Linked DNA regions of Schizosaccharomyces pombe. The protein of the gene in region 2 purifies or fractionates together with the protein of the main gene of each other region. This does not show direct contact. Each region holds a gene or a part of one and is shown on either strand. Other genes may lie near its edges.

Evidence for each region.
Region 1: the proteins of zip1 (region 2) and pof1 purify together in Schizosaccharomyces pombe (affinity purification with western blotting; one study listed by BioGRID). This does not show direct contact.

What each region holds. Positions count from the first base shown.
Region 1 is NC_003424.3:1,372,063-1,377,594, forward strand, and holds pof1 (F-box/WD repeat-containing protein Pof1), read right to left. Parts: upstream 3,534-5,532; 5' UTR 2,822-3,533; coding exon 1,004-2,821; 3' UTR 660-1,003; downstream 1-659. Other genes in the region: SAGA complex deubiquitinating submodule subunit Sgf11, read right to left, coding at 219-245; protein mug15, read left to right, coding at 4,525-4,885, 4,970-5,010; SPOM_SPAC57A10.07 (uncharacterized protein), read left to right, coding at 5,243-5,532. UniProt on the Schizosaccharomyces pombe protein: Probably recognizes and binds to some phosphorylated proteins and promotes their ubiquitination and degradation. Required for the inactivation of zip1 via ubiquitination.
Region 2 is NC_003424.3:4,297,984-4,302,163, forward strand, and holds zip1 (DNA-binding transcription factor Zip1), read left to right. Parts: upstream 1-1,831; 5' UTR 1,832-1,975; exon of another isoform or gene 1,976-2,038; 5' UTR 2,039-2,082; coding exon 2,083-3,075; 3' UTR 3,076-3,418; downstream 3,419-4,180. Other genes in the region: meiotic recombination protein Rec10, read right to left, coding at 3,419-4,180.

The DNA.
Region 1 (5,532 bases), 2.9 Mb from region 2:
TAGTGAAAAAGTTGTACAAGTGTTAAATTCAGCCACCTATTGACAATTGTTTTTCTATTAATCTTCCTTTTGTCTTTAAAGTACTACAATTTGACATGTTAAATAAACCGCGATCGATTAAATGATACATGCTTTCATAAACAAGCAAATCTTTTTTTGGCGAGGAAGTTTAATTTTGAAAGGAAAAACAATTACACATAGAGAAATCAGGTACTTACAATACCGGCAAGAGAAGCAGGCTGCATCTTTAAACCATTCTTTGGGAATCAAAAGTTGAGTATTCCAAGCAAGTTAGTATTGTTACAAAGCCGGTGATTCCAAAATTTCAAACAATGAGGAAAAAGATGCAACTGATCCGTATGGGAAATTGAGATTTACAGAACGGAAGTGCTTCAAATTGATGTCTTTATTATAAAAATTATTAGGCTCAAATACTTGGTGTTACATCTTTAGCTTGCGTAGGAGCTGACTTTATTTGCTAATAGTGAGTGTTGATATAATTTGCTAATTTCATACTTCTCTGACTCCAAGAGCAATGCAAAATACACACGCTCATGAAATAAAATATCAGTAATCCACTTGCGCAATTGGAAAAAACAACGCCTACAACATAGTACCTAAGTTTCTCCCTTTTACAATTCATCAAATCATACATTCTTCAGCTCGACTAAGGATAAATTGTATTCATTAAATACATAAAATGTTAAAAGTCATAAAATAATTCGCTAGTAAATTAAGCAAAAGGCTAAACTGTATGCCGGGATGCCATCAATCTCAAATGATTTAAATAATACAATACAGGCAAGGATATTAGAAGTAGTTTTTGATTATAGACAAAGTGTTTGTTACCAAAAAAGAGCCAAATTTAGATATGGCATTTTGGCAACCCGAGCAATAAATAAAGACATAGCTTCGAATGATGAAAAATGAAGGATATACAAGCGAAATGCCGAAGAAAAAAAGAAATAGACACAAACAAAAAGGCGATGCGATGTTGGGGTAACTACGATTGAATCGACACATCGTCATTATTGGCATTAGAGGGTGGGATATTTAAATTTCTGGTTGAGATATTGGATAACGAGGATGAGTAGTTGGGTACTGAAGAAAGAGCTCGTTGCACACTTGAATTTGACCTTTGACCATTAAGGGAAGATATCGGAACAGATTGTGTAGATACTGGAGATTCATTTGGAGCATTATTGAAAAGCCACAAATATATTTTCCCATCTTCAGACCCACTGACTACCTCACAGTCTCCAAGAGCAACCGAGGTTACAGGCTCCGAGTGATTCTTCAACGTGTGAACACATTCACAAGCCTCCCAAACTTTAACAACACCATCATGAGCTCCCGAGATTAAACGAAGGTGATCTGCCGCAATTTCCCATACACCTTCAATGTGTCCAAACAATGTATGAACACATTTTTTCTTCTCGATGTCCCATTGCTTTATTGTGCCGTCCAATGAGCAAGAAAACAATCGCGAATCAGCAAGAGCTAAACTCTGGACAGGGCCAATATGAGCACTGAAAGTATGAAGACACGTGTTTGTTTCCAAAGACCAAATCTTGATGGTGGAATCGTCGGAACCGGAAAGAACAAGTCCACGATCTCTAATTATGCGGACAGAATTGACAGGTCCTGTGTGACCGCGTAAAGTGATACGCTTACCGCCAGAAAAGTGCCACAGCTTAACTGTACAATCTGCGCTTCCAGAAACAAGTAGCGTAGAGTCAAACGTTAAGCATAAAACACTATCCGTATGACCATGTAAAATAGAAATGCATTCAGAGGTTCTGTAGTTCCATATACGAATAGTTTTGTCCATTGAACCGCTGATAAGTTTACACTGATCGAATTGAAGGCACGTAACACCACTGCTATGACCTTCTAATAGAGCAACTTGTTGAAAGGTAGCAAGATTCCATAATCGTATAGTGGCATCATAACTGCCGCTAGCAAGAATGTTCCTTACAAGTTGTAGACACATAACACCGTCAGAGTGGCCACTGAGAACAACCTGGCGACAACGACCATGCCGCCAGTTGCATTCAACTCTACAACGTTCAGCATATACTTCTTTCCATGGTCTGGTTTTAAAGGGAAGAAAGAATTTGGAATCGGAGTTCGGAGAAGGTGGTTTGACAGAAGAAATAGTCTCTTCATTACTCGACGTCGGATAATCGTCCAGCTTTGCTTTTTTGACGGGTGAAGATTCATGAGCCTGATCGACGCCTCTTTTTGTAAGTCGTTCATAACGTTTTTGTATGGAAGCCTTTGCTGCGTATAAGGTATTTCTTTCGAGTAACGGAAGTCCCCAGCCGCATTTTTCACATTTTCGATTAATATGTTGTTCACACATCCGATGCCATATAACATCATCATCAGCAAGTTCTTTCCAATGTTTACTGACTTGTGCAGCTTGGCAAAGGCTTCTAGCATCCAAAAAAGATAAAATGCGAAACGAAATTTCAACAGGGAGCAAAGAGAGAAAATCTAAGCGTACTAGAGAATCTAATGTGCTGGAGGCAAAAGAGAGAAGAGAGGACGAACAGTTGTTTAAAATGCCTTGCAAAGCGAGTTTACGTTCGCTGCAAGAAGCCTCTGAAAAAGCAGCCCATACAGCTTCGACACGTTGACGACTTTTTTCGCTTAAACCAGACAATTCATTATGCATTGAAGAAATATTAAAAGCCGAAACGGAGATGGATTGATCACCTTCTTTTTTTTCCAGTAAATGGCGTTGCCATAGCTCTGCTCGTGGTGCAAGATTATCAGAGGGTTCGGAAGTGGGAACAGATTCATAACCTGTAGTCATTTTTTTTATAAAGGTTAAATATTAAGTATGAAAAGAAAGAAGGGACAATGCAAAGGTTGATTTTAGGGTAAAAAAAAATAGAGTGGATAATAGCACAAAAAAATGTTATCACGGATGATGCGGGTAGATGTTAACAGAATGAAACCAGAAATGATTTGGATAAGATGATAGTAGTATAAAAGACTATAGTAATACAAAAAAAAAGGAGAAAACTATATGAAGATTGTAATAATTATGATAAGCGGGGAAAGTCAACTATCGAACCTTACAAAGTAATTTGTAAGTAAATCGAAAATTTAAAGTGCTAGCTGATAGAAATATATGGAAACAAGAAAAAAAATTTAAAAAGAGACACAAACTATGTAAAAGATAAACGAAAAAGAAACTAGAAGATCAAATATAAAATACACACAAACTCGTTGCTTTGGCAACCTTCAGTAAAAAGATGAAGAGTTGAGGTAGAACCAAGATTTTAATGATTCAAAAAACTCCAATAATACTCTTTATCCAACCACTTGATTATTCCAAATATGTGTATTTTCTTGAGGTGGCTTTCGATGAGGTTAAGGAGGAGAGGATATAATATAGAGAGGATTGTGAGGCCTAAAGACTAATAATCACCTAATGAATTTGAGATTTTGAGTAGAATTGCGAGATGTTAAGCGAATCTCAAAATTACGAATCCGAAGATAATGTGGATAAAACAAATTGCAAAGATGTCGTTCTATTCGTCTCAGTATATATATGTGCGTAGATCATTAAAAATCTGTCCACTTCTCAGTTAATGCAATTGATTTCGATTAACCAACTATTGCGCAATCTGCCACTCATATTGAAAATTTTTACTGATCTGCAAACGTTTAACAGCTATTTTCCACTAGATTAATAAAAAATAGCCAATCCTCACAAGTCGCACCTTTTTCGGGGATCGGGGGAAATGTCGCTGAAGGTGTGAAAATGCAAATTTTCTCGGATGTCAACAGTTTAATCAGTCGCTTCAAAGTTTGTATATTTCTTAATTTTGGTGAATTTCCTCCATATTTCTTCACTTTGTATGGCGGCAATGGAGCCGTAATGCTAAGCAAATCGTAATTGAGTTTGTAATAGCTAGCATCAGTTTAAACTCGAATGAATTAAGTAACCGCTTATATATTCATAAAAACTTCTAAGTAATTGAGCTAGGTGCGTTTATAGGGATGATTATTCGCTCAGAAAATGATTAAAACACTGCTCAACTTGTTCACCTATATATAGTTGTCGTAAACAAAGCTAAATCGATGATTTATTACAAGAAGAAAGAATACATGATTTTCGGTTAATCACATAACATGAACAATATTGAAGAAGGAAATAGCGATTTATTGAGCCGCTGTTTTTTTCATGAATACCGGTTAACATAGATTTTTAAGTATAAATAAAAGGATAATGACTAGCGGTTTCATTGTTCATCTTTGATTGAATATTGTTAATGTCACGTACGCGTGAAATATATAAAGTCGCCGAGGAATATGCATATAGTCTGCATATACATTATTTTGAGAACATATATTAATTTAAATTGTTTTTGTCACAAATTCAATATAATATTCTATGCATAATTAATTCATCAAAACGACTGTTGACCTATGATTTGCCCTTAATGTTGACTGATTACAAGTGATGGACATATATTAACCAAATATTTTTTACACAACTAAATAAATATGAACGTTGGTGATTTGAAAAGTGCCAATGACTTGTATGAATCTGTACGCTCAATAGAAGGAGTGACTGGTGTCCATTTATTTCGAATAAGAGATGCAGGCATTTTGAAGAGTACTATGATACCAGAGTTAGACGCGTTAACCACAATTAGCTTGGATGAATTAAACAAGTCTCCTACCGTTTTCACTAAAAATTTACTTCAAGGTTGCGGTGGAACTGATCTTGATGTGCCAGCGGAATTGAAGAGATTGGTGATTTTCGTATGCAACATTTTGGAATCCTGCAACGAGTTCACCGATTTAGGCTCAGCAAGGTTGTTACGATTGACTTTCGATTCTTGCCAACTGGTGATTATGTATGGTATGCTAAACGCCCGAATTTTATTTTATCTTATTTTTTAAATAAAAAGCGTAAATAAAGCAATAAATTAACTAGAAAATTTAGATTCTTTGTTCGTTGTTGCAATTACAAAGGATGAAACATAAAACTTTTTTTTGCCGTTCTTATCAATAAAATTAATTTTATTAATGTTTGAATCTATGGTAAATTAATTTTTATAAAAGTTTTAGCTCGTTTAAGCAATGAGAAGCTTCGCGTGCTTTGTTTGGGTATCCTGGGTATCACTGATAATACGCTACCGCGCTACAGCAACTTTTTATTTTCATATTTGTCTTGCCAAAGACCTTCACCCAGGTTGGGATTCTACTGGGTCTTTAAATGTTAAATAAACGCTTAACTATTCAATTGCCTTTTTATGCTACCCAAACCGCCTCATCGTCTAGATTTTGGCGAGTTCTTTCCCCAAAGTCTCGAACTGGAATAGCACTTTATGCTTCTCTAATATTGCTTTGCATATTTTTTACTATATTTTCTACTATGAGCCATCCCAGTCTTCAATGCTTTAGTCCTACTTCCTTGGTAGGAGCACAACCTTTGAAAAACCTCACACACTTGATTATTGTTGCCGGTCATGCGGTTTGGTTAGGCGGGTCTACTAATGGGGAAGA
Region 2 (4,180 bases):
TTGCAAAAACAAGGAAACGAGGCAGTAAGAATTGAGTTTATTCAAATAAGAAAAAATGATTATTTCTCTTAAAATGAATTGTTTTTAGAAGTGAACAGTTTTAGATGCTAGATGCAAACGTGAAAGATAGTATATGGTAATACAAAAAACGAAGGATTGGTAAATGGGAGTCCGGGAATTTTTATTTCACTTACGAGTAGAAACATGTAATTTTTTTTCTTTTATTCCATAAGCTTGCGATGTTTGAAGTCGTTGACAACGTCTTGCTTAGTTCAAACTGCTAGTCACCTGGGAATTATCTGAATAAATAAGCATTAAAATATGAACAAAGATTGGCGAGTCCAAGTTTATGTGAAATATCAACAACGATATACGTCGATTCATAGGAGGTTTGAACTCATCAACCTAAAGTTAGAAATACATGGCAAAAGAAATTTATCACAGATTGTTAATATGTTTGCAATCAGACATTGACTTAAATCAATTCTTAAGACTTGTTTGTAAGTGAGCAAGTTTATTATTGTTTTATGAATGATCGAGGTTGTGTAAAATGGCACAGTTTGTATTTGAAAGCTAATTTGGAATCCACAAAATTTAAGATATATAACAGAAAAGCTTTTATACAGCTGAAGTCTTCATTTAATACCCCGAATCCGTCATTGTCTTTTATTATAATACCGAGTTTCTATGCAAGTTAGGTAAAACTCCATATTTGAAGTCTTGGACATTGAAATACTTAAACTGTAACATTTGTTTTAAACTATTAGGATTAAATTTTCAAAGTTTTGATGGCACACATTGTACTATAGTTAGCAAGTATATAGAACGGCGATGGTTGACAAAAATGAACTACAAATGTAACCACGGAATGAACGTGAAGGTTTATCGGATTTTGATTTTAACGCTGTTTAATTTGTATTCAGCTACCTTTAACATTAATGATGAATTTCTGCTATTGGATTTCTAAAACTCCTCTGAAAGCATATAGCAGACAATGTCTTACGCAAATACAAAAAATGCTTTAAGGATTTCAAAGCGTTTTCCACTGATTTTTTTCTTATGCAAAAAGCAAATCTATTACTGACTTTAAGCTTGAACTTCAATCATTCTCATTTCTATTTCGTTTCCATATTCTATTATAGAGGATCTGTCAAGTAACATGTTTTGTATTTGATTCTTTTTTTACACAAGCAGCACTAGTATGAATAAGTTTTAAGAAGAATATGACTTTGTTCCGGAATATATTAACTGACTGAAAAGTAGAGAATATACTGTTTTTAGAAAAAAAAAATTGCGAATTGTCTGACGCACTATTGTTTCAATATATGAACCGTTGTTGGGGATGAAAAATGTTCAGTAAAAACCCCAAACTTAAAACTTATTGCGCATGTAGATCTAAAGTAGTTTATTCAATTAACTATTCGACTGACTATTACAACTGGGCCATTGATATATAAAATGAGCGAATATTCTAATGGCTTTAGAATTTTCAATATAAGATAAAACTTCCGATCATTTACACAAAAAGCAAGAACTTAAGACTGCTTTTTAACTCTCATTAATAGCATACGACTGATTTCTTTAGGATTTTTTTCCTAAATAGCAATTTGTTAGTGACTTATATAATAACGTTTTTCTAGCAGGTTTAAACTACTACGGTAACAACTTCTATAATAATTAACGGTGCACTATCTTAATATAGGATAGTTTTATGAGGATCTACGTACAGCTACACTACATCAGATTTTTAACGCGGAGATTGTAATCTCATTATTATCTCAACGCTGCATGATCCCGATCGCAGACGTGCTGGCTCAGTCATCAAATTTTCTACGATTACCAACGTAGCGTCGCCATTCATCGAGTCACTAAATTTGGTGGTTTAGCTCGTTTATTGCGAACGGTTGAGTGTGTTTTTTTTACCTTTGTGAGATATAATTTGATTAGTAACGATAATTTTGCCGTTAAGTCTTAGGTAAGCTTATTGTTGGAGAGTTCAGTTTTTTAGCGAAATTCCATGCTAACAATTGATTTTCAGTTAATTTTAAGAGACCAAGAGTCTCAAGATAAAGCTTTTGACAAATGGATTTTACTCCTAATAGCGCTATCAATCACTTGAATCTTAAGTTCGATGATGTTCCTGTCTCTGACGATTTTTCAAAGGATGATCTCGCAGAGCAATTAAATGTATTCACAAATCCATACTTTTTAGATTTAGAGCCTTCTAGTATGCTTTCAGAAGGCTATTATGGATTTGTTTCTCAACCTTCAGGTTCTTCCAATTCCAATAAGCAGGAAAAGAACGTGCAGCAACAGAATCCCGAAAAAATTTCGACTTTGCAGCAAGTTAAAGAGGAAGAAGTTAGCAATACCTTTTCTGCCCCTTTGAATGCAACTGGAAATTTTTCTTCTGCTAATCCTGCTTCAATTGATCTTGCTTATCTCGACTTGCAGAAACTCCTAACCCTACCTGATCATTCAAAGGAAACTCAAGAAAAAACTTCGTCTCAACGAGAGCTCTTTGAGCAAAAGTCTTCTGTTGCTTCAGCCTCCAAGGATAATGTTTCTTCTTCCTCAATTCTCCAAGGTTCAGCTTCCTCCAAGTTACTACCTGATCAATCTGCAAGACAACATCAAGTTTTGGTTGGACAGACTGCTATCCCGACTTCTGAAGCTAGCAGCTCTATTAACAATACCCCTTTACAAGCTCCCGTTTCTTCATTTGCTGATCAAAACGCATTTACCAATCCCCTTTCCACTTTTGCCAGTCCTGATTTAGCATCTGTATCTTCCCCTAGTCTTTCTTCTTATAAGGGTGCTCAGTCTCCCAATGCTAACAGTAAACGCACCAAAGCTACTTCTGCCATCCGTACTGCTGCTGAGGAAGATAAACGTCGTCGAAATACCGCTGCTAGCGCTCGTTTTCGCATCAAGAAGAAGCTTAAAGAACAACAGTTGGAACGCACTGCTAAAGAGTTGACTGAGAAAGTCGCCATTTTAGAAACTCGTGTTCGTGAACTGGAGATGGAGAATAACTGGTTGAAGGGACTTATACGTCCTACTTCTAACTTTTAAAAGTGGTTTTCTTTCCCTGTTATTTTATACCCCTGTCTTCTGCATTGATATGTTTATTTCTTCGATAATCATTTATTTAACATATAAAGGTTTTCTTTACAGGTAAACTTATGTTTTCTTTTGGAGCAAATCTTTTAATTTTCTTTTTTTCTGCGTATGCATCCAACTGCTACGTTCAAGTTCATCAGTTTTACGTTTACTAGGTAATGAATTTGATAATATACCTATTTTTCTCGTGTTTCTTGCTTTACGTAAATAAAATATAACGCTTCCAATGTGAATTGTTTTAAAGTAATATGTCAATATAAGCCAATATCAATAAATTTGATACTATAGGTTCAAGCTACTTAAACATCAAACTGTCAATTTGGCTGACCAGATTAACTTCAATTTGCGCCAATTCCTTTTCGATGATCTTATATCTAGCAGTTTGTCTTTTCGAAAATTCCTTAATCACTTTGTTACAATTTATGTGGTAAGCCTCAAGCTTTGACCTCAATTCCTTCTCGTTCTGTAAAATGCCCTCGTATATTTGATTTCCTATCATAGAAGTATAACGTTGTAAACCATCAATAGTAGCAGATTTGCTAGATGGATTGTATGCTTCGTTCTTCTCAACTGTCTTAAAAAATTTGTTGTAGGGTATTTCCTCGAGCTTGACAGTTTCCGCATTGGGATTCCTGTACTCAAGTTCCTGGCGATCTGATATCAGCGTACTGCTACTTGAGTCTGGCTCCTTGTCATTAAAACATTCATTATTAGGCGGGCTTGAGCAGGTACCATCTAGTAGACTGGTAATATTTGGAGTATTTGCTTGTTTAACAAAGGTAGAGAGATCAATTTGACGACTATTTCCAGTAAGTTGAGGCTTAGATTCCTGTTTCCAATGTTTCTCTTTAAGAAGTTCTTTCCATACGGAGCTTTTAAGACTATTATTTCCATCATGGCAAGTAGTAAAGATATCTGTAGCTGTTTCATGCTTTACACCATTATACCAATTTCCATTCGGTACAGGAACTGGAGTCTCAATATTCTCCGAAGTTAAATGGTTCATTTGTTTGTGACCTGCAATGTTTGCTATCGTAGGAGGCTTCAAGGTTTCGTC